Drosophila melanogaster: one gene and its partners. The protein of the gene in region 4 purifies or fractionates together with the protein of the main gene of each other region. This does not show direct contact. Each region holds a gene or a part of one and is shown on either strand. Other genes may lie near its edges.

The links.
Region 1: the proteins of omd (region 4) and IntS1 purify together in Drosophila melanogaster (affinity purification with western blotting; 2 studies listed by BioGRID, with this or other methods). This does not show direct contact.
Region 2: the proteins of omd (region 4) and IntS6 purify together in Drosophila melanogaster (affinity purification with western blotting; one study listed by BioGRID). This does not show direct contact.
Region 3: the proteins of omd (region 4) and IntS12 purify together in Drosophila melanogaster (affinity purification with western blotting; one study listed by BioGRID). This does not show direct contact.

What each region holds. Positions count from the first base shown.
Region 1 is NT_033778.4:24,035,590-24,044,067, reverse strand, and holds the start of IntS1 (integrator 1), read right to left. Parts: upstream 6,126-8,478; 5' UTR 6,007-6,125; coding exon 4,689-6,006; intron 4,628-4,688; coding exon 3,648-4,627; intron 3,594-3,647; coding exon 1-3,593. Other genes in the region: Not11 (CCR4-NOT transcription complex subunit 11), read left to right, coding at 6,428-6,673, 6,728-6,867, 6,928-7,285; MAN1, read right to left, coding at 7,418-8,478. UniProt on the Drosophila melanogaster protein: Component of the integrator complex, a multiprotein complex that terminates RNA polymerase II (Pol II) transcription in the promoter-proximal region of genes.
Region 2 is NC_004354.4:5,743,903-5,749,355, forward strand, and holds the start of IntS6 (integrator 6), read right to left. Parts: upstream 3,353-5,453; 5' UTR 2,870-3,352; intron 2,474-2,869; exon of another isoform or gene 2,301-2,473; intron 798-2,300; exon of another isoform or gene 454-797; intron 11-453; 5' UTR 1-10. Other genes in the region: Rtel1 (regulator of telomere elongation helicase 1), read left to right, coding at 3,967-5,016, 5,092-5,453. UniProt on the Drosophila melanogaster protein: Component of the integrator complex, a multiprotein complex that terminates RNA polymerase II (Pol II) transcription in the promoter-proximal region of genes.
Region 3 is NT_033777.3:26,861,824-26,865,059, reverse strand, and holds IntS12 (integrator 12), read right to left. Parts: upstream 1,685-3,236; 5' UTR 1,591-1,684; coding exon 604-1,590; 3' UTR 501-603; downstream 1-500. Other genes in the region: ball (ballchen), read left to right, coding at 1-391; Lerp (lysosomal enzyme receptor protein), read left to right, coding at 2,367-2,423, 2,494-2,580, 2,853-3,069, 3,127-3,236. UniProt on the Drosophila melanogaster protein: Component of the integrator complex, a multiprotein complex that terminates RNA polymerase II (Pol II) transcription in the promoter-proximal region of genes.
Region 4 is NT_033777.3:13,683,958-13,688,987, forward strand, and holds the start of omd (oocyte maintenance defects), read right to left. Parts: upstream 3,254-5,030; 5' UTR 3,215-3,253; intron 568-3,214; exon of another isoform or gene 468-567; intron 194-467; exon of another isoform or gene 1-193. Other genes in the region: flfl (falafel), read left to right, coding at 3,907-4,018, 4,089-4,276, 4,390-5,030. UniProt on the Drosophila melanogaster protein: Component of the integrator complex, a multiprotein complex that terminates RNA polymerase II (Pol II) transcription in the promoter-proximal region of genes.

The DNA of each region.
Region 1 (8,478 bases), on a different chromosome or scaffold from region 4:
AAGGCGATGGACCGGATCTGGGCACTCGGCGAGAATATAAGGTTGAGCAGTCGTTCGAACAGCTCGTTGATGAACACAAATCTCTTGGAAGTGAGGCACTCCAGCTCCTGCATGGGACCCAAGACCACGTCCTCCGTGTTGGACTGCTTTATGATCTTGACCAGATCGAGGAAGTGCGGCGATATGTCCGTGTAGTTCGACCGGCTGTACGAGCCCAAGGTTAGAACCGATAAGGGACCCCTACTGCTGCTTGGATCGATGGGTGTTTGCGGATTCACTTCGATGGGATCCTCTGTTACCACGGGCTTGCTGGCCGATGGCTTTACATCGAAATGCTCATCCAGATCGTACTCGTACTTAACTTCCTCGTCGTCCAATTCCGTCGCCGAGTGCGACTTGTGCTGCAGCAGGGCAACGGCCTGGACCAAAACCTGCAGTTTGCCTAGTGAGGTGTACTTGGCTGCAAGTTCCTTCAGGATGCCCACGTACTGTTCGATGAAGAGCAGAGCACTTGAGGGATTGTAGTTGATGTAGGCTTGGAGCATCTGCACAAACTTGTTCAGCATTTGGCAGGCCTCTTTTACGTTGCTGTGGTGCTTGAAGAAGTTGAAGTAGCACGACAGCGTGTTTTGGATCTCGTTCTTGTACGCCTCCTCAAAGATGGTTGGTTGCAGCAGCTCCAGCGTCCTCAGGATCTGTACAAATCGGTGGAAGTGGTGCTCCTCGCGCAGGGCCTTCATGCTGAGCTGGGCCCGACCTTGCATAATGGACGACAGCACGCCCAGCTGGCGAAGGAAGAGAAGCGGGTGGGAGGCAGCCAGCTTGCGAAGGAGCAGCTCGGTGTCCGTGGACAGGGTTTCAAAGTCCTTTTTGCCCACCAGACTGCCCAAGCAGGTGATCAGATTGTTGGACACCTTGTCCGCCTGGCAGCCCTTCAGATTCTGCAATTTGTACGCCTGCTCGCCGGTTTTGCCCGGTTTCAGAAACTTGATGCGCGGATACATGATGTACATCTGCTGGAGGACCTGCAGTTTCAAGTAGTCGGACACCGAACTTTTCTCCACGTGCTCCATTACCTTGACCATGAGGTCTCGTCGCTTCTCTGTGAGCTTAAACAGTAGGTTCATTCGCGAGCAGAGCTTGAAATCATAGTTTTTGCTGTCCAGCTTGACCTCGGAAAGCCCTTCGTGAAGGATGAAGTGGGAGAACGGCTCCAGTTCAGAAGTCCTCAGCATGAAGAAGGCATCCGGCCGTACGTTCTTCGACATGTACTTGTCGCGTCCCTTCCACAGCTTCGGATTGGTGGTCAGTGCCTCGAAGTAGTTGAGGACGGTGGCGTAGTCGTAGTCTTCATGGAAATTCTTGAACAGGTACTCGGCAATCCTTTCGATCGTGTCCCAGTTGGTTTGGTGGTTGATCAGGGACAACAGATAGAACCTAAACTCGCTGCAGGACTTTGAGAACAGAAAGCGCTCCTTCATTAGCTGAGTGGAAACTATCTCGGGATCCATTTCGGACAGCCAGTCGATGAAGAGCCCGTTGTGGAAGAGCTGGTCGCTCTTGGACTTGGCGACGGTCTTGCTGTCCTTGGTCTGATCGAAGCTTTGGACGATCGCCCGGACGATCCGTTTTCGTGCCACCAAGGCGGTATTCGCCTTAAACTGCTGCGCATAAATCTCGCGAGAGTTTCTCAGCATGAACACCAAGCTCTCATGATAGAGTTCGGATTTCTGCAGCAGACTGGAGTCGGCGAATGTGTGCTTAAACATACTTAAGTTCTTTTGGAGAGCGTTCTCCAGTATGTGATACTTGTCGCTGTGCAGCATGCAGCTGAAGAAAGTCCTTAAAAATGTGCAGGCGTGACGGCTCATCGTGACACTGCAACCCACGGCTAGCACCTCTGTTATGGCGTTAACCACATCCGCTCTATTGCTGTTCGGGCTTGCTAGCATGTCCAACAGTTTTTGAATCAAGGATCGGCAGTCACTTCGCGACTCAGTCAACTGGTCGGGCTGCGTGAGAATGGTTTGGGCTACCTCCTTGGTGGCCAGGAAGTTAGTGGGTCTATCATCCGAGTCTGAAGAATCGTAATCATCAATTTCAACGGCCTCCTGAATAACCACACTGATCTTGGGCAGATCTGGCACAGTCTGCGAGTGGGAATGCAGATCCAAGGCCTGTACGGTGTAGTGCCCATTCTTAGCACCCCGCGCCTGCTGAATCTCGATTAGCTGGGCCAGATAGGCCTTGTTCAGAATGGCATTCTTCACCAGATCAAACTGCTCCAGTACAGCGGTGTCCAGCATTGCCAGCAGCTTGGACATCGAGTTGACCGGCGTGCCAAAGTTTTGCACAAAGAGCACGATCTGATCCGGCGTTAGATCGTTGAGAGCTGCCTCAATTAGTCTGTCCACCGATGAGCGGATCATCTTCAGCTTCAGCCAGTCGGGCAGCAGTTGCACCTGCTCCTGCGGCATGCTGGGCAGAAAGGCGACGGGCGCTGGTCGTCCGGGCGGAAACCAATAGTCCAAAATGGGTATCGATTCGGGCATGTTGCTGTTGGAATAGGTGAGCAGGATAATGAAGGCGTGAATGATGTTTATGTGGAGCGGTAGCTGTACTCCATCGTCAAACTGAACCATCAGCAGGTCCGGATACTCGGTCCACTCGTACGGTTCGTGGTATTCCCTTAGCTTAATTATATAGTTGTTGAACATGACGAAAAGACACTTCAGAGTCTGAATGCGGTTCTCGTCGGGCACATAGTCGTAGTCCTCCTGCGAAATGATAATGTGCTGAAACATTGTGCTGCGCTCTACAATCAGCTGCGCCATATCGATGACATGATCCAGCATTTCGTTGACCGGATCGTTGAGCGTGTGCGCAGTGATGAACTGAATGTACGCCATAATCAGTTCCGGGCAATTCTCCACCTGGCAGGCAGCTCGCAGCTGGGGAATTATGAAGGGTTTCACCTCGTAGAAGTGCGGAATTTGCTGGAGCGACTTCAGGAGCCATTCGTTTTCAAAGTCGCCAGAGTGCCTGAAGATTATCTTCAGACCCGAAAGAGCGGCGACTCGCGATTGCTTCACCGTGGACGACAAGCGTCTAAATATGTAGTCCAAAAGCTCGCAAACGATTTGGTGGCTAAGATTGCCGTCAAATATCAGGTTTCTCAGGAAATTGACTAACTCGGCATCGCGGCTATTCTCCTCGTTGATGATGTGCGCGTTGAACAGCAGAAACTCGCACAGGCATTGCACTGGGAGATGGCTGAAATCGCCCTCGCTGTTCTGAACCAAGTCGGAAAGCCAGGGCATGGATTGCGTGGTGCCCTGCCTTTGAATTATGTCCAGCAGCAAGTCCGGCTTGCGGCAGCGGCAGAATAAGTGGCCAAGCTTGTAGGTCTGATTAAGGAACTTTAGCTGATCTAGGACCATGGAGGGCACTTTGCGCGGAGTGCCCATCGGGTCCATCAGCATGAGCTGAGTGATTAGAATCGCAGTTTCCTCAGTGATAACAGCATGCGGCGATGTTTGGGCAGCCAAGTACGTCTCGAACTGCAGAATGTGATCCCGTTCCATGGTTATTATCTGAAAAATCTTTATTGTAGCACCGCCAGTTTGTTTATATAATTAAGCACGCACCTGCAACTCATCCTTGGTGGCTGATGAATTGTTGAATTGATTCGTTATACAAATCTCCATCATCATCTTCATTGTGGGATAGTGGTCCCAGCAGAAGGCTCCAAACGAGGAGGGGTTGTGTGCGGATATCATAAGCAATATGAGCCACGCCTTCCAGTAGAAGGCGATGATGGCCAGCTTTGGTGGCTCGTACTCCGCAGGCAAGCGAATGTTCTCCGGATGATGGTACTCTGACATGCTGAACAGGAAGTCGATGATGTCGAATTTGTTGGCCTGCACCGCCGGAATATTGGTAGCCTTCATCCCGGAAACTCGCTTTATGACCAGCAGCAGGACATCAAAGGTGTTTGCGATAGAGAAAGGAATATCCTTGGTGATGCCAATCAATATAATTCGCAGCAGGGTCTCCTCGTGAATCGGCGTCTCAGAGATAATCCGCAGGATTGCTCCTCGCTCCGGCTCTGACGGCCACTGATCGCAGCGCGAATACTGCTCCGGACTGTCCAGCAGTAGCAGCTTGTGCAGCGCCTGGTGGTACTCCGCAGCCGGAATCTTGAAGAGCGTGGGTACTGTTTCGTACATCCAGGACACTGTGTCCAACTGAATCTGTGACATCTGATTGTACAGCTTGAGCAGAGCATGGTTGTTTTTGGTGTCCCGATTGGTTTTCAGGGACAAACTGGCTTCCCTAGCTTGTGGCGTGGCCGACAGAAACATGCAGAGACACACAATGTCCACCATGGAGTTGAAAATTCGCTCCTTAAACTCGAACATTTCGATTTGAGGAGTCAGATCCTCCCGCTCACTGAGAAACGTCTTGCAAAACTTGACCAGGTTCACATCGAAGCGCAGCATCCGCACAAGCTCCCGTAAGAAAACGCGCAGGGTGCGCAGGCAATCGTCCCGCTGAAGCAAGAATTCCTGGTAAATCTCAGCCAGAGTGGCAGCTGATTGATCAGCAGATGTTTGAAACATTGTGGCTGGAAAAGTTTCAAATTAAGAATTATGATTTTAATTTAAGAAAAAATTTGTTTCTCTTACCCAGCATCCCCATATTGTTTGGATTCCTGGTGTTGGATAGCTCATTTTGCACGACCAGTTTCATTACGGTACTCAAGATTTCCGGCTGCAGAAAAATCATCTCCTTCAAGCAGGACATGTAGTGGTTTATTAGGGGCTTCGTCTTGAGCCGCATCTTCACCAGCACCAAGAGCACTTCGTTGTCCTGTGTGTTGCGTCCCTTGATGTTGAAGCAGATGTACGAGAGCAATTGCTGGGCGAACTTGACCAGTTTTCCGTTGTGGATCCACAGCTCCAGGCGGGAAATGCTCAGACATCGTACCTCTGCAATGCCAGAAGTGGTGCACAGGAACTTTAGGAAGTTTCTGGTGTAGTTATCCTGCTGCTGTCGCTTGTTGAGCTGATCGCGAATGGCATCGCTGACATGCTTCTGCACCACAGCATCGCTGAATCTTGATTTAGTGGTGCACATAGCGTCGGGAATTGGTTCCGATTCGGTATTTAAGGGACTTGCATCCAAGCTCTGTGTGGAATTGTCCCCGGAATCGTCGTCCACAGTCATGCTGTCTCTGTGTGCTTGACCAGAAGGCAGGGACGAGCTCACATCCCAGCGGAGGAGACTGATGTGGGGCGTGCGGGTTTTAAAGGCTGCGCATATGTTCTTCACGAGCGGGGCACACAGTTCATTGTCCGCCCAGTAGCGCTCGTTAACCGCATCGTCTATGTAAATGCGGAGCAGCACCTCCGGCCACTGGGAAATCTCCATGAAGCCCCGGGTCAGCAGATTGGCGAACAGAATGTGCAGGTTGGTGTTGTACCTCATTTTCACGTTGGCCTCCCGCCGCAGGAAGGAAAGCAGCGCGCAGGCCACTATGTCTGTGCAGAATATACTCGGCTGTACCTTGGCCACGTAGATCAGGGCCAGAAGGGCAATGTTGTCCACCTTGGAGCGCGAGGAGCTCGTCGTTGTCTGCTTTATAACGCCGCATACAAGCCGGCCCACAGTTTCGCTGTCGTTCTGCTCCAAAGCCGCGTATATGGTCTCGACCACGGTATCCAGATCGCAGTCAACGGCGAATTGCTCCCACGTCTCGCACTGACTACTACCGGAGGACATGTCCGGGGCGCCCGCGTCCTTCAGGTTGCCGCGGAACCGCTTGCTCGAGCTGGCCAGTGCGGTGGAGGCTTCACGCTTGCGGTCCGACGACGACATGCCCTTAATGGGCAGGATCTTCGACTTGGAGTCATCGCGTACGCTCTTGCCGAGCGCAAAGAGTTCTCCGCCCAGCGGAACCTTCTTCTGCGATCGGTTGGAGCCGCTTCCTTTCCCGCGATCCATTTTTCTCTGTTCGTGTGTGAAGGTTTTTTCTGTCCATAAAATGGATAATTCAAGCGCGGTGCATTTTATTTTGCTTTGCGATTTGCAGCCGTGCAACAGTTGCAGTGTGACCAGAGTGCAGGCGCTAGGGCTCAATGGCTAACGCATGCAGAAGTCTGTGCAACTGCTCTGATTCGGAACGATGGAAGCTTTGAAACAGGCTTTAATATAAATATTGAACTGTTTTCATATTTTAATTTTTATTTTTTGACAAGTGTGTAACCTAACACCCTTAGGCGCACATTTGCATACATCATTTTTCAGATGGCCCACTCTCATGTGCAGATTGTTCTTAAGAACCCCTCAACGCGGTCACACTAAAATTGTTTACAAAATTGCAAGGAAAATAATAATAATTGTAAATTAAAATCAGCGCACCAGCATGTTTCTGTCCATCGCCCCGCCCCTAATGGACTTCGAGGACGAGCTGCTCTGGATAAACCAGTCGAACAGCGACAAGGTGGAGATCATCTACGACAAGTCCAACTACATTACCCCCAACATAAAGCACCTCATCGAGCAGGCTTTTCTCCAGCCACTCAGCCTCCAGAACCAGCACATCCTCTTCGACGACCTGCTGAAGCAGAACACGGACATTGCGCGCCAATATGGACTGACCCCGGACAAGGTAAGAACCGAAAACATTGCTAGATATATGTCTTATCCATTGCTTCCATCTCAGCTACCTCTGCTCGTGGAAAGCAATCCTCTCATCTCCATTGAGATCTTGCTAAGACTGATGACGACCTCCGACATAACTGAATACTTCAACGTGTTGGTCAACATGGACATAACACTTCACTCCATGGAGGTGGTCAACCGGTAGGAATCCAAACATCGAGTATTGAAGGCTTCTTTAACATGCTCGAGCTCTCATTCCAGACTAACCACCTCCGGACCTTTGCCCACTGAGTTTATTCACCTATACATCAGCAATTGCATCTCGACTTGCGAAACAGTCAAGGACAAGTACATGCAGTCTCGCCTGGTGCGACTCGTTTGCGTATTTCTGCAGTCCTTGATTAGGAACAAGATTGTGAACGTTAGGGTATGCGCTACTACCATTTCCTCGACTGTGCTTAGTGACTATTCTATTGTTATTTTCCAGGAACTATTCATTGAAATCGAAGCCTTCTGCGTGGGTTTCAGCAAAATCAAGGAGGCTGCTACCCTGTACCGGCTTATCAAACACTTGGAAACTGGGGAAAGCGCTCTGTCGTCCAACTCCCTAGCTAAGTAGTGGTAGTGTTTAGCAGATTTTAAGTTTTAAAGTCTAGTTCATAATAAATCGATTAAATACGACAACTCCAGCTGTACATGTAAAACAAATTCGCATTTAATAACTTAAGTATCTAATGTAGAGTTGTGTGTTTTATGAGTGAGTGTTGGCTGCCTCGTTGGTGTGAAAGTAAAGTGGCTCGGCCGAGGGCTTGGGGAAACGGCTCAGGTAGCGTTCCAGTCTTAAGAATTTAATCGAAATCAGGCGCTTGTCGAACCACCAGCCGTTGATCTCTTTGTGAATCGTGCCGGCGTCCTCCTCGCTGGCGCAGCGGATGTACACGCAGCAGGACTGCACGTCCAGCTGGACATCGCAGATCTTGCAGCGCGTGCCGACCTTCTCGATGATCGACTCCACGATGGACTGCTTCAGATTGGCCTGATCCACCTCTGAGGAGTCGAACATGTGCCTAATCTTCAGGCAGGGAGTCGGCGGGTTGGCAATCTTGTTCGAGTTATCGAAGGCGGGACTCTGCCACTTCTTAACAAGCCCCACATCCTTTTTGTCAACGTTCCTGTTCCACGCAATTGTGCGCATTGCCTTCCCGTCACGATTCACCATTCCGAACAGCACACGGCTATCGTTTTTCTCCAGCTGCTTGAGGGCCTTGTTCCAAGAAGACAAGAGCTTTGAGCGCTTCTTGGCCGGCAGAAACTTCTCCTGCAGCTGGTTAATAACTACCTCGGGACTCTCGGACTGGGAGCTCAAGTAAATTAGCTCGTTTATTATGTCCTTTTGGAACTGATCGACCGCCAACAGGGCTTCCTTCTGCTTAACTCGGTATATTACTACCGCGACGTACACGATGAGAAATCCAGCGACTATTAAGAGAAGTGCACCGATAACGGTGAAAAACCTGGTAACTTTCTTCAACACAATGCACTTGAGCGGCAGATTGGGTTCAGAAAGCTCGAAGTGCGAGGTCTGTCCAAGGTGCTTCGTTGAATCCACCACTTGGATGCTCCACTGCGGATTCTCGGTAATCAAATATTTGGCAGCCATCAAGTTGCTGTGCAGATTTCCCCTGTGAGTCTTTGGGTTGCTGACCATTTCCCGCACAAACTCTCCTATTTCCAAAGCGGGCGACAAATTGGCGTCTTTGCAGTGATGGAGCCTGGCTCGCTCGTTCAGATGCCTAAAGAGTTCCTCGCTCA
Region 2 (5,453 bases), on a different chromosome or scaffold from region 4:
CTCTGATATCCTAGAAGAAACGGACAAATGTTTCAAATTAAAATACTAATTCCGATTATACTTTTTGTTATATCGTAGAGTAAAGGAATGTCGGCTTGGCGTTATGGTTTCTTGGCTCTTCTATATCACAAATCTTCACACAAAATGAAATTAAACCATGACGTAATTTAATTCTAAGTCAAAACAATGTGAAATCTTACAGAGTTATGCACAAATGTATAATAATTTGAGTTTCGAGCCAAACAATTTGGTGGTACGCTTTTTGAAAAAAAAAAAAAAAACTCTGCAAAAAGTGTGAGCTCAAAGTACTCGTCTACTTGGAAAACTCACAACGTTTAACGTTTTGGTTTTGACAATTAAATCAATGTTTTGGTGTTATGAAATTTGGTAAACGTTATCGGTACAGGTTCAATTTCGATTGACCAACAAACCAAAAAGTCAAGCTTTACTTACTTTATCTCTTATCTTTTATCGTTGATCTTTTATTTCCCCTCTCAGGTGCACTTTCTCCCTCTCCTTCTCTCTCGCTTTCTGCTATATTCTTGCTATTTGTGGTTGTTGTTTTTGTATTTGTTGCTATCTCCCTTTGCGTGTGTATAGGTGTTTAGGTTTTGTTTACGTTGTTAGCAGCTCTCTTTATCTGCTTGTTGTTTTTGCTGCCGATTCTCTTGCACTTGTTGTTCTTGTCCTGGGCTTGATCGATTTGCTCTTTTTCTGCGTTTCGCTGTTCCGCTTCTATGGTACATGTTGCGTGCAACAGCTGACATTTGGACTGGAGAAACAACAACAACAGCGAACTGCGAATGGTAACGAACGAAACAGAACAGAACAGAACGAAATGATAATGAAACAGGTACGCAACTGGTTGTAAAATATCAATAGGTTGCGCATACGCACTGTGGCCAATCGATTAAGAAGCGGCAATATAAATCCATACAGATAATGAAACAACTGCGTAATCAACGATATCACTCACAAACTATCTACACACCGCACACTCTGTCGCATAACGCAAGTGCTAATTAAACAACAAAATGGAATTTAATTCCCAGGGGGTCGGCCGTTGGTCCTAGAGAGCTAAATATTTATGTTGGGGAAAATCGCTTTGACACAAATCCAAATCCACTCCGCTTCACTCACTGGCCATTATGCCTCCTCTGCATCTCCTCCTCGCTCCATCTAACTCGTTCCTTCTTCTCTTTCTATTGATGCCCCACTACGGAGTCATTCACTCGACGCCACTGCCACCACTACAACGCTCTGCTGGCGTCGCCTAGAGATGGCAACGTGAGCCAGGTGGGCGACACGCGTGTGAATAGCTTTGGCTTTGCCAAAAACAATACGAAGTCTAGTACTAAGCAATAATATTTATAATTGTCGTACTTGTCGTATATTCAAAATAATAAATGAGTTAGATTCATATGTAGAAGTTTTAAACTAGGTAACAAGTAGTCATTATAACGCAGGTGCCAAAGAGATTGATCTTTAAATGGTTCTCTATTTTCTATCTGAAGTGTACCATTACACAAATTAGTGTTTAGTTTCGATATCCTTACACTTTGTTATATTGCGTGATATTCGCTGCCCCTATTAACAAAGTAGATTACTGCTCCCACCATCTCGAGTTGAGGTAAAAGGTAACCGTAAATCGATTACACAATGACCAAGCTCACGATCGTGAGTGTGTGTGCGAGGGAGCACGACCTACGCATCTCTGATGGAGAGCGAGGGAGATGGCCTGCCGAAGAAGGGGCGATGGAGGAGAAAAATGAGAAAGGGGGTTGGGATGTGGTGGATGCCGATGCCAGGGGGAGGAGAAGGAGGAATGCGATTAACCAAAGCCGGGATAACGATAACGATCACTCGGCGATCGCAGGCGTAACCCACATCCTTACACCTTAAATTAGGTCAGCCAGTCTAAATGTGTTTTTACCGGAGGAGCCGTAATTGTCTTGAATTCGAGTGCAAAACATTCAATTTCTATTTGAATAAGAGCGCAAACACATACGCACACTCGCGCACATGGACATGCACACACACATTCGCACACACGCGGCTCGGTGTAGTTGCCAGATACCCCCACTTCGGACAGGTATAACGTTGAGCGGAAATTAAAATATATCTATTAAGTTTCACAAATTTTGTCTTAAGTAAAAACAACACAAAATTCGTATTAAACGAGCGGTGTGTGATTTATCGTTGATCTGGCAACCCTGCTCCGACGTGTTGGAATGGTACGGGTGGCTGCGGGGGACGAGTCGGCCTATTGTGTTTGATGGCAATCCACAAAGCTCACACACACGTTTAAACCAAAACGATATAGGGCCGAGCACTTCAAGTAATCGAGTTTTTTCCGTCTAATTAATCTCGGCGCAGCGATGTTTTGGCCAACAAAATGACACGGCTCTTTGTCGGAATTCACTTATGCAGCAGCGGCAGGGTTGTCAGAGCTCGAAAAACGGTGAAGAAATAAACACACTTTTTCTAGTTGTTTCGCATAAATGGGGGGCGGCAAAGGGGTGCAGGGCCTTTGATTGGTGGTCATTTTTCATTTGGATGACCTTAATTTGCATGTGATAATGCTGATTAGTGCAGCCGCGTTATCGGCACGGTAATCGTTATCGCCAGAGTTGCAAGCGCCCGCCCATCGACAGCCCGCCAAAGCTTTCGAATTTGAAAATGTGTGGACATATTTTAAAAGTGCGATTCTAAGGATCGCATGGTTAATATTTTAGATCTAAATTTTCTATCTCAAAAAAAAAAAAAATGGTACAACATTCATACACAACTACACCGGCAGCATCTTCGAGTGAGAGTTTCCGGCCAAAAAAAAAAAAAAAAAGAATAACTAAAACAAAAACGCACTCACAAGAAGAGGAATGTTTCTCCTCCACCCAATACTCGCAATAATTTTCGATTAGCTTCTATATGCCGCGCCACGATTTTTTATTCTGTTATATTTTTACTTTGTGCCAACAGAAATTTATCACCACCGCGCGAGAGAGCGAGAACACACACGCACACACACAGCCAGAGTGCGCTCTCTTTCGCTCTGCCGCCGAGGTGCATAGGCGAGAACGACCGACAGACGCGACTAGCGGTCGGACCGACCGACCGAACGACCGTCGCTATCGCCGTCCCCCTCTCGCTCGTAGGTTTGTATCGGGGAGTTGTTGCTTACACGCACTCGCACACATACTTTTGCACACTGGCGCCTCGTCACTGTTGTTGCATTGCTGTCGTCCACTCCTGCGCTTCTTCTTCTCTTGTTCGACTCGCTTCTCTTCGGATTTTACTTTGCTGCCGAGCAATAACAACACAACACTACCGTTCTCAAAGTTCGAATGATTTGATGCCGTTCTGTGTTTTTTTGGTGTGGCCGAGAAGCGCCAAATCAGTGGGGCCGTATCGCGGCGATTCGGAAAAGCCGAGCGAAGGGGTCACGATAAATGGATTTGTGGTTGAATTAACTGAGTTTGTAATAATTGATGTCAAATATTTACTTACCTTGTTAGGGGATTTATATGTATGCTGCACATTTAATCTTGAATGCCATTAGTTCATTAGTTTGGTATAATCCATAACATTCACTTAAAATGTTATATCGTTAATCTTTGATCCAAATAAACAGAATCACAACTACAGTATTCCCTCCAATGCTAATAAGTTTATAAGTTTCAGTTACTATTATCCATAAGGTACCATAAACACGATTGCAGCACTTTGGGTGGTGATTAGTACTACTATTACGTTTAAAATAAACTACGCAGGGTTTGACATGCAAGTTGTAAACATTTGACTCGGAGTTCAAGATAACGCTATAAAATTACTTAATCAGGGTCCACTGTACTCTATCGATAGCGATAACTGACCACCTACACAGACATTTATTGTTATCGACCAACGAACACATGTTCACTCCGATTTGGCGCGTAAACAAGTAAATAAATAGTATTATTAAGAATAATGCCGGAGAGCCTGATCGCCGGCATTCCGGTGCACTTTCCGTTCGAGCCGTACCCGGTTCAACGGGCGTACATGGAGAAGGTGATCCATTGTCTCCGCGATGGCACGAATGGAGTCCTGGAATCGCCAACCGGCACGGGCAAGACCCTAAGCTTGCTGTGCTCATCCTTGGCCTGGATCCGCACCAGGCAATCGGAGCACCAAAAGCAGATGGTTAAGATGGAGAAGGCAGATTTTTCGGGTCTTGGAGGCGGAGCACCTGGGGGAGACCTGTCCGAGCTGGCCAAGACCATGGGTCGTGCGAATAACTGGGGCGTGCCCAAGGTCATCTACGCCTCGCGCACCCACTCCCAATTGACGCAGGCGATGCGGGAACTCAAGAGGACAGCGTACGCTAACATGAGATCCGTGGTTCTGGGCTCCCGCGATCAGCTATGCATTCATCCGGAGGTCATGCGGGAGCAGGGCAACTCCAACAAGACCAACATGTGCAAGCTACGGGTGCACTCCAAGACCTGTTCATTTCAAATGCGCGTTGAGTCGCGAAAGGATCATCCCGATTTGCGCGGACCCACCATCATGGACATTGAGGACCTGGTCAAGGTGGGCCAGCGACTCAAGATCTGTCCCTACTTCGCGTCTCGGGAGTTGGTTCCCCAGGCGGATATCACCTTCATGCCCTACAATTATCTACTCGATCCCAAGGCTCGCAAGGCCAACAAAATCGAACTGGGCAACACTATTGTGATCCTGGATGAGGCCCACAACATCGAGAAGATCTGCGAGGAGTCCGCTTCGGTGCAGATTAAGTCCTCTGATGTGGCCATGGCCATCGAGGACGTCACGCATATCATGCAAGTCTTTGCGAGCGGCGAGTCGCAGGATATGGCTGGAGATGAGCCAAAGGACTTCACACTGGACGACCTTACACTGCTCAAGGAGATGCTGCTCGAGCTCGAAAAGGCCATCGATGCCATCGTTGTGGACAACGCCGTCGATGGAACTACCTTTCCCGCCTCCATGATGTACGAACTGCTTGGCAAGGCGAATGTAAGATGCACTAAATCTTATCGGAAATGTTTTTAAAAGAATGCCTATTTAAAAATGTAACTTCCTTTATTGTAGTTCACCTACGGCAACGTTGCAACGATAGTATCCCTGCTGGACAAACTGGTGCAATACCTCCTAGTGGCCTCCCAGCAGATGAGCATCCGCAAGGGCGGCACCTTCACGTTGCTTAGCGATCTACTGACCATTGTGTTTGCCAACAAGGAGGATGTGATGAGCAAGGTGTACGCAAGCTTCAAAGTGCATGTCCTGGTGGAGGAGTCCAAGCAGGGACACGGTAAGCAGCAGGGTGCTAAACAGCAGGGCGGTTGGCTTGGCAAGGGAACGATTGCAGCAGCGACTGGCTTAAGCAAGGTCGCAAAAATCATTAACTTCTGGTGCTTCAATCCTGGCTTCGGAATGGAGCAACTGCTCAACAC
Region 3 (3,236 bases), about 13 Mb from region 4:
AGCGCGGCTCCGTACTCCCAATGCCAAGATCAATTTCAGCCCGTCTATTTCGCTGCGTGGACGTCCCGGTGGCAAAACCGTGATCAACGATGACCTCACTCCACAGCCGCGTTCCAAGAAGACCTATGAGTTTAACTTCGAGCTCGACGTTAGCATGGATGCCAACGTAATTGTGAATGTCAAACGCAAAAAGAAAGCGGACCAGGATAAGGCGACGGCGGTTGATTCACGTACACCCTCATCCCGCAGCGCGTTGGCGTCCAGTTCGAAGGAGGAGGCCTCACCTGTGACCCGAGTTAACCTGCGCAAGGTAAACGGCCATGGCGACTCCTCCACGCCCGGCCGTAGTCCGCGGACACCAGCCGTCACTGTGCGGAAATACCAGGGATAGGAGCCTTTGTTTTCTGTATTTTTACATTTGTAACCTCATTAATAAAAACTTGAAATATTTTCTTACTTTTACCTACATTTACTGAATTCGATAGCACGTACATATCTTTAAAAATCATTTATTGAAAATGAATTATTGAATTATTATTATGAATGAACGTTCAGAATTTTATGCGGATTGTAACTTTATACTTAATTATTAGAGATGCTAAATTACTGCTTGGATCTGCGCTTGCTGCTGCTGCCGCTTTCGTGATGCTTGGAGGAACTGCTCTTGGAGCTGGATTTGGTGCTGGAGCCGCTGCGTCGCGATGAGGTGCCACTGCTGTTGTGCTTCTCCATTCCGCCGATGGCGCTAAGAGAAGACGCCGCCGTGGACTTAGAGGATCGTTCTTCCTTGTGCGATTTGGACGACGACGAAGAGGAGGACTTGTGGCCATGCTTGCTGCTGCTACTGCTGCTGGCATTCGTGGAACTGCTGGGCTCGGGCCGGTAGAAGGGTGACGAGGAGTTGGAAGAGTTCGATGAGCGCGACGACGCGACCGACGATTTGGCTTTGCTGGTCAACGGCATGGGTTCGTCGGCTATGAAGACAGTTGGCGTTACGGCCGCTGCAGAGGATGTTGTCCTCCCGCTGCTCGTTGGCTTGTTGCAGCACGTGTCGCACTGCCAGTTCTGCTCCTGGTCATCGGCCGCCTCCTCCTTGGTTATGGGCGGCTTGTGGCACTCCTGATGGTACATGGCACCGCACTTGGAGCACTCAATCAGCCGATTGGTGGCCGTGAAAACCATCTCGCCGCACACGCAGCAATTGAGGTCGCCAAAGTCGCCGGTGTCACCGGTGTTAACTATTCCCACGGCGCTTAGACCGTCATCCGAATCCGCAATCGTGTCCACCGAATCGGAGGGCTCCTTGTCCGGTGAGTTGGTCAAATTGATGATCTCGTCCGCATTGATGGGCTGCTGCGGGGGCGTGGCAGCACGTCCGGAAAAGTTCGCTTCATCCTCCAGCATCCGTGGCGTCATGTTGTTGGTCAAACTTTTCTCCGGACCAAAACGCGCCTTCAAAGCCTCGTCCAAAAGCAGACGCAGTTCGGCCGCCGAGGTGGGATTACTCGAGTGCAGCAACTTGATGGCCTTCTTCAGCACGGGATCCACTTCTTGGGCAGCTGCAGCAGCGGCGGCTATATTTGCGGCCATCTTAATACCGGGTAGATATAGTAAATAACAATATAAATGCAAGTTTATGCCCGCGCAACAGCTGTTTGTTTGGTTTCAGCCATTCACTTGGCAACGTGCATAGGTTTTAGGCGGGAAAATTAAATTTTAAGTTATTAGCCATAATACGATGAAAATAAAGTTATGGATCATTTCATGTAATCTGAATATAGCCTTGTTAACAACAATGTTAGTATGTAAGTAACACTACACACGTTGGTTGTATTGGATTCTCAAACATAATGTATATTCAAAAGCCCAACAGCTGTTTGACCAGTGCTACCACACTGCTACGCAGCTCGACTTCTTCTGAGCGCTGCCACTCGCTTGTAAACGTAAAGTAACATTGGTAAGAGCGGGTGTTGTTTTTTGGCCAGGTAATTTAGCCGCATCCGAAAAAGGTATATTCAAGCTAAAAATAGTTATTTCGCCACTATTTGTGTTCGTTGTTATGCCTATCGTGCAACTGCGTCGCCGGCATTTCCTTATTTGTTCTGCTGCGCAAAGAAGAAGAATTGCTGCGAACGGCCGTTGAAAAATCGAAGCAGAGAGCCAATTGGAAAAGCAATAACAACTTGGCTCTCTCGCAAAACAAACAGTTAGCTTGTGATAAGGGAAATTAAATTACTTTGTGTGCGAAAAAAGAGCGCTAATCTTAGGTGGAATTACCAATAAAACAGTAAAAGAAACAAACTGCAAACGCTTTCCAGCGCTTTGACTCATTTAGTGCCAATATTTCAGAGCCTGCAGGTGACAAAATGCGTTGCAGTTTGCAAAAGGACTGCGCAGCTCCCACGCAGGAAAATTTTCGTCAGGTAAGATGATACATGCTGAATACATTTAAACTGAACTAAAAACTATTCATTGCATTTACTGACATTCCAGCAGATGCGTTTCCCAATTGTGATTTCCCTGCTTTTGCTGCTTTTCTGCAGCGGTGAGAGTGTCGCCGCTGACGCAGCCAATCAGCTGGTAAGTGGGCGGTTAGTGGGCGTGGGTCGTTTATTTTGGGGGTGTTTGTTTGTTTTCACTGCGCACTTGTTGCCTTTTGGTCGAGACCCCGTTTAAGGCCCCCCAATTGCATGTTTTTCGCTCGCTTATCACTTCCAGTCTTTGTTGGCCGACATTTCGAATGGCTAAGAAATCAATAGGCTGAATAATGAAGCGATAATAGTCATAAAAAATGTCTTGTTTTCTTTGAAATAGGAAAATATGTAACTGTAATATGTTTACTTTTTCTTTAGAAATTTTCCACCACGGAATGTAAACTCAAGGAGCCCATTTACGGCAGCACCTTCGACTTCAGTGGTCTCCACTCGGATTTGGCCCATGTGGTGAAGAGCATGAACATTGGAGGCGACCAATTCGAGTTCAATATATGCGGAAATCTTTCAAGAACCTGCAATGGGGAAAGTAATGTGGCAGCTTGTCTCAAAAGACAGGGAAAGGAGTATATTTTGGGTAAGTTAACGATCACATTATCTGTATCTCACACGCTAAGATACCTTTACTGTTCAGGTCGTCAGCACGAGTTGTTCTACAACAATGGAAATATGTTTCTGAAGTACAAAAGCGGCGCAAAATGCGACAATGGCACTGCCGACAAGCCCAACTACCAGCTGCATGTA
Region 4 (5,030 bases):
CAACGCTCTAGCGTCGGTCCGCGGAAAATAGCGAAAATTACAATTATCCGGGAAGATATATTGGTCGAAAACTAACTCGTGATCCCCCAATAAATATGCGCAAGAGAAAATTGTATATAAACTGATCGAATGCAGCCAGCGTGCTAAGCACTAAAAGCGAAAAACGCCAGAAACAGAAACAAGGAATTGCAGCGTGAGTGTATAACTTTTTGGTTTTTGCCCCCGCGCTCTTTCTCTCTCTTTGCTGCTCTCTCTCTCCCGCTCTCTTTTGCCCTCTTGCGGCTTCTGTGTTGTCTGCGTGCTAGTGTGTGTGTGTTTGAATTTTACTGTGAATGTGACCGACGGTGTGTTCTCACGTACTCCGTGGATGATTTGCGGCCTTGCCAGGGAATCGGACTATATATCCCGGCAATAGCCCATATTGGATCCCGATTTTGAATACAACTCGGCTGATTTGCTTCTTTCAGTGTCTCCCCTTTTATCGCACTTTATGCAACAACGCATACCGTCGTGTTGAATTTCCTCGCTCTCCGCTGTGTGTGGTTTGTAGGTGTGCGTGTGTTCGAGGTGAGTTAGCCGTCGTCTGTTTTTCTTTTCCCTGCGTTTTGTGTGCGTTTCAATGAAATGCAAAATCGCCAGCGAATATCGCGGAAATGCGCTGCTCCTAAATATTATGTATACATAAATAAAGTATCGAATCAAAACAAAATCGGCTTGCAACAACAACAAAAACATTGCAGAGTGTGGGTGGCGCGTGTAGCGATCAAAATTGCGTGCATGTGTAATGTGTGTGGTGGAGAGACGGCATTTTTCTTTACCACACGCCTCTTCTTCTTTCCCACAATACACTGCAATTTTTGCGATTCTGTTTTGCGCCTGCCATTCGCAATAATTTTATTGAATGAACCGCAAAAGAGACGGCCCAAAAAGCGATGTACTTGCCAGACGTTGTGTCTGTGTGCGTCCAAGTGTCTGTAGCGCGTTGTGTGTGTATCGCGTATGAAAATACATCAACTGTTGGGCATCAACAAAAAAACGGAATCAAAAATTTATAATAAAAAATGAAAGGAAATTAGCTGACTTTGTAATCGCAATCGGAGAGTGTTTACTTGCTAAATTTTCGAGTTCTCCGCCCGTCTCTTTCCCTTCATCCCTCCTGCCTTCACCGCCAATACCACCCCAAAAAATTGCATACATGCACACACGCCTTCGGTTGTGCGAGTGGTTTAGTGTGTGAGCGCGCGCGTATTCTGCACACATTGTCATGCATGCAAAAAACAAGATACGACGCGTTCGCAATCGTTAGATTCCGTCTCCCCCAATTCATGGCGTTTCATTGCTGGGGGCGAAAGTAAGAAGATAACGAAAGGGATATGCGAACCACTTCCTAATGAAGTCCTGCATCCTTAGCTTTTGGATTCCCACCTCTTCGCCTTCTCCTTCTTCACACGGACACTTGCAGCGTTCGCGCCCATGCGTGTGTATGTGTGCGAAGAACAGGAAGAGAGCAGCGAGACTCCAATTATCCATTTACAGTTGCGGTTGAAATGATGGAGCATAGTTGTATTATTTGTATTCACACAATTACCGGTGGTATTTAAAGTCTTAACAATATTTATTAATTTCCTGCTACCTTCCTAAATTTTATTCATAGTTTTAATACTGTACCCAAGTACCTTAAGTTCCCTAATCAGATGTAAACTTGTTGATAGGCATAATTCCTATCTTAGTTTGTATTTTTGTCTACTATAACCTAAACTTAATTCTACTACGAATTTAATTACAACATACTAAGACTGTAATCTACAAACCAAACGAAAATGCCTTGAATAAAAGAGGTCTAGTGATTCATAATACGATTTGCACACGTGTTATTAACTAGGTAGTAGCGAAATAGAGTCAAAAAGGCCACCGACTTGTTCACAACTGTATCTCTTACTAACTTCCCTATAAAAACTAATTGTTGCTGGGGCGAAAAAATACTGCCAAGTTGTCATATTTGCCGGACTTTATTGATGACTCGACTCCAGAGCTCTATATTTCGCACACAGATTTTCTCTCGGCACTTTTCGCAACCTTCTGCGGCCGCTGGTTATTAATAAAAATTAATAATAAACGAAATCTGTGGCGCTGTGCGGCACTTGGACACACTTATGTACACATGAGCATTCTCGTGTTTTTCGCAGCTGATTGCGTAAACGAAACCGCTCGCTACGTTTGTTTTGAATTGCTACTTTTGTTTTGGTACCGATTCAGACTTGGAATCCGATTCAGTTACAGATTGAGATTGAGATTGAGATACTCAGGCTCTCCGCCTGGGCTTCAATTCTCCTGCGGGCGTTATCAGTGGCCTATGGCGCTTTATTGGAATTACCATGGAAGTGGGAACTTAATCGCTGTGCAAATCGCTTCGAAACAGCGCAGCACGCATTTTCCCCGACGTCTTGCAACCTTGGGCGAGTGGCACTGCGGGCGGTGGGTGGTGAGCGGTTGGGTGATCTAGAGTGACGTAAATATTTGTGGTGGACAGTCAACATTGAGGTGGCGCTCTTCAACGATGACGTAGCTTTTGCCACTTCTGTTTACTCGCACATTATTTCACACACTTCTCCATTGATTTTCGCCGTGCAGATAACGAAATAGTGGACTGATTGTTAACTGTGTATAAATGAAAATATGGGTATGATATGTGTTTATTTACACTTTTTTTCTGTGTACGAGAATGGTTAGATTACTCCCCTTCCTCGTTTTGAGTCACCCGCTCTCTGGCCCTCGCCGCTGTTTGTTTTCTTCGCGCGCGTGTTTGCTCTCGCCGTGGGGCGAAAGCGCAGCGATAATAGTGGCTCAGATATAGTGTATACTATATGTATAGTAAACCTACTCATACCGAAAACCCCATCGCACAGATACGGATACATTTACAGATACACGCGCGCACTGCGGAAGGCCTAGATCTAATGGAAAACGCTAAATGTTTGTAAACAGACCGGGCACATTTCTTTTCTTTTCTTAATTATTTTTTGCATTTCGCATTTTAGTTGGCATGGTCTTCTCACGGCTTCTCTCTCTTCACACATCTTTCTTCCGAAAATACACTCACACACACGCACACCGAACGTAGCTTTCACATTTTCATTCATCGCAATCTTCGCCATGAAGTGTTGCAAAGGCCCCAAGATAAGATATAGGATGCACTTGGATACCTTAACCTCACCTTTTTGCGACAATAGCACACGAATAATCCAATTTTTTGTATGACGTTGTTGGGCGAACAATTTTATAAGTCTTGGAAAGGAATTTCTGTGCTGTGTTGATACACAAAACAACAAAATAATAAAAAATTATAAATGGTATTGAACTACTGTACTAGTGAATAGTTTGAACCAGACTTTAAATTAAAGGCAATTATGATGTTGAAAATATTTAAGTACCTTTATGCATGCATATAGTTAAAATACAATTTTTTAGATAACAAACAACATATGCGTTTACTGTCATTAAAAAAGGGATTATAAAACCATAAAAAAAGGATTTCGAAAAAGTAGTGTTTTTTAATATTGTATGATCTTTGAACGTTTTTTTTTTTAATTGTTTTATTTTCCTAACTTGCAGTGCAGTCTCGTCGTGCGCCCATCCCAATCCCATCAGACCCCACCCGGCGTTGGAGTGCAAGAATAACATGGATATAGAAGTCAAGCATAAAGATTAGCCGAATCCTTTGAATTTTAAATTCAAGATCCTAATTTAAATTAGCTAAGTAGCATAGCCTAGCCAATAGTCCCTAGCCAGAGGAACGGTTCCAAGCCGCAAGCACTCGCGTTCATAGTCCCGATCGAAATTCAAACGAATCCCAAGGGCACCAACAGCGTGTAGAACCGCAGAAGCACAGCAAGGAGGAACATCATCATGACGACTGACACCCGCCGACGCGTCAAGCTGTACGCGCTGAATGCGGAACGGCAATGGGATGATCGTGGCACTGGCCACGTGTCATCCACCTATGTGGAAAGACTAAAAGGTGGGTTTACGAAATTAATGAAGCCTTGCGAAGTGATTTAAGTTTCCTATTGCTCACTAACAACTTACAGGCATCTCGCTTTTGGTGCGAGCCGAATCCGATGGATCTCTACTTTTGGAGAGCAAGATACAACCGGACACCGCATACCAGAAGCAACAGGATACGCTGATCGTGTGGTCCGAGGGGGATAACTTTGATCTGGCCCTGAGTTTCCAGGAAAAGGCGGGCTGCGACGAAATATGGGAAAAGATATGTCAGGTAAGCGTCGTTGAATAAGCATATGCAGTTATAAATGTGCTTATCTATATATCAATGAACTTAAACAATTTCTATATGGTTTTCACATCAATTGCCAACTAAAACTTTTGCAGGTGCAAGGCAAGGATCCATCTGTAGAAATAACTCAAGACATCGTCGAAGAGTCTGAGGATGAGCGGTTTGAGGACATGTCGGATACTGCGCCACCCATTGAGCTACCACCCTGCGAGCTTTCCCGGCTGGAGGACATCTCGGAAACGATACAAAGCTGTCTCTCCACGCCGCTGCGAAAGGAAAAGTTGTCGATGGCTCTGGAGTCGGAGAGCTATATCAAGAAGCTGCTGAACTTGTTCCACGTGTGTGAGGACCTGGACAATACCGAGGGCCTGCATCACCTTTTTGAGATCTTCAAGAACATCTTCTTGCTAAATAAGAACGCGCTCTTTGAGATTATGTTTGCGGATGATACCATCTTTGATGTGGTCGGGTGCCTGGAGTACGATCCGAGTGTGTCTCAGCCCAAAAAGCATCGACAGTATCTGAAGCAGTTAGCCAAGTTCCGCGAGGCAGTGCCGATTAAAAACCTGGACCTGCTGGCTAAGATTCACCAGACGTTCCGGGTGCAGTACATCCAGGACATTATCCTGCCCACACCATCGGTCTTTGTCGAAGACAACATGCTGAACACCCTGTCCAGCTTCATCTTCTTCAACAAGGTGGAGATTGTCACGATGATCCAGGACGACGAGCGGTA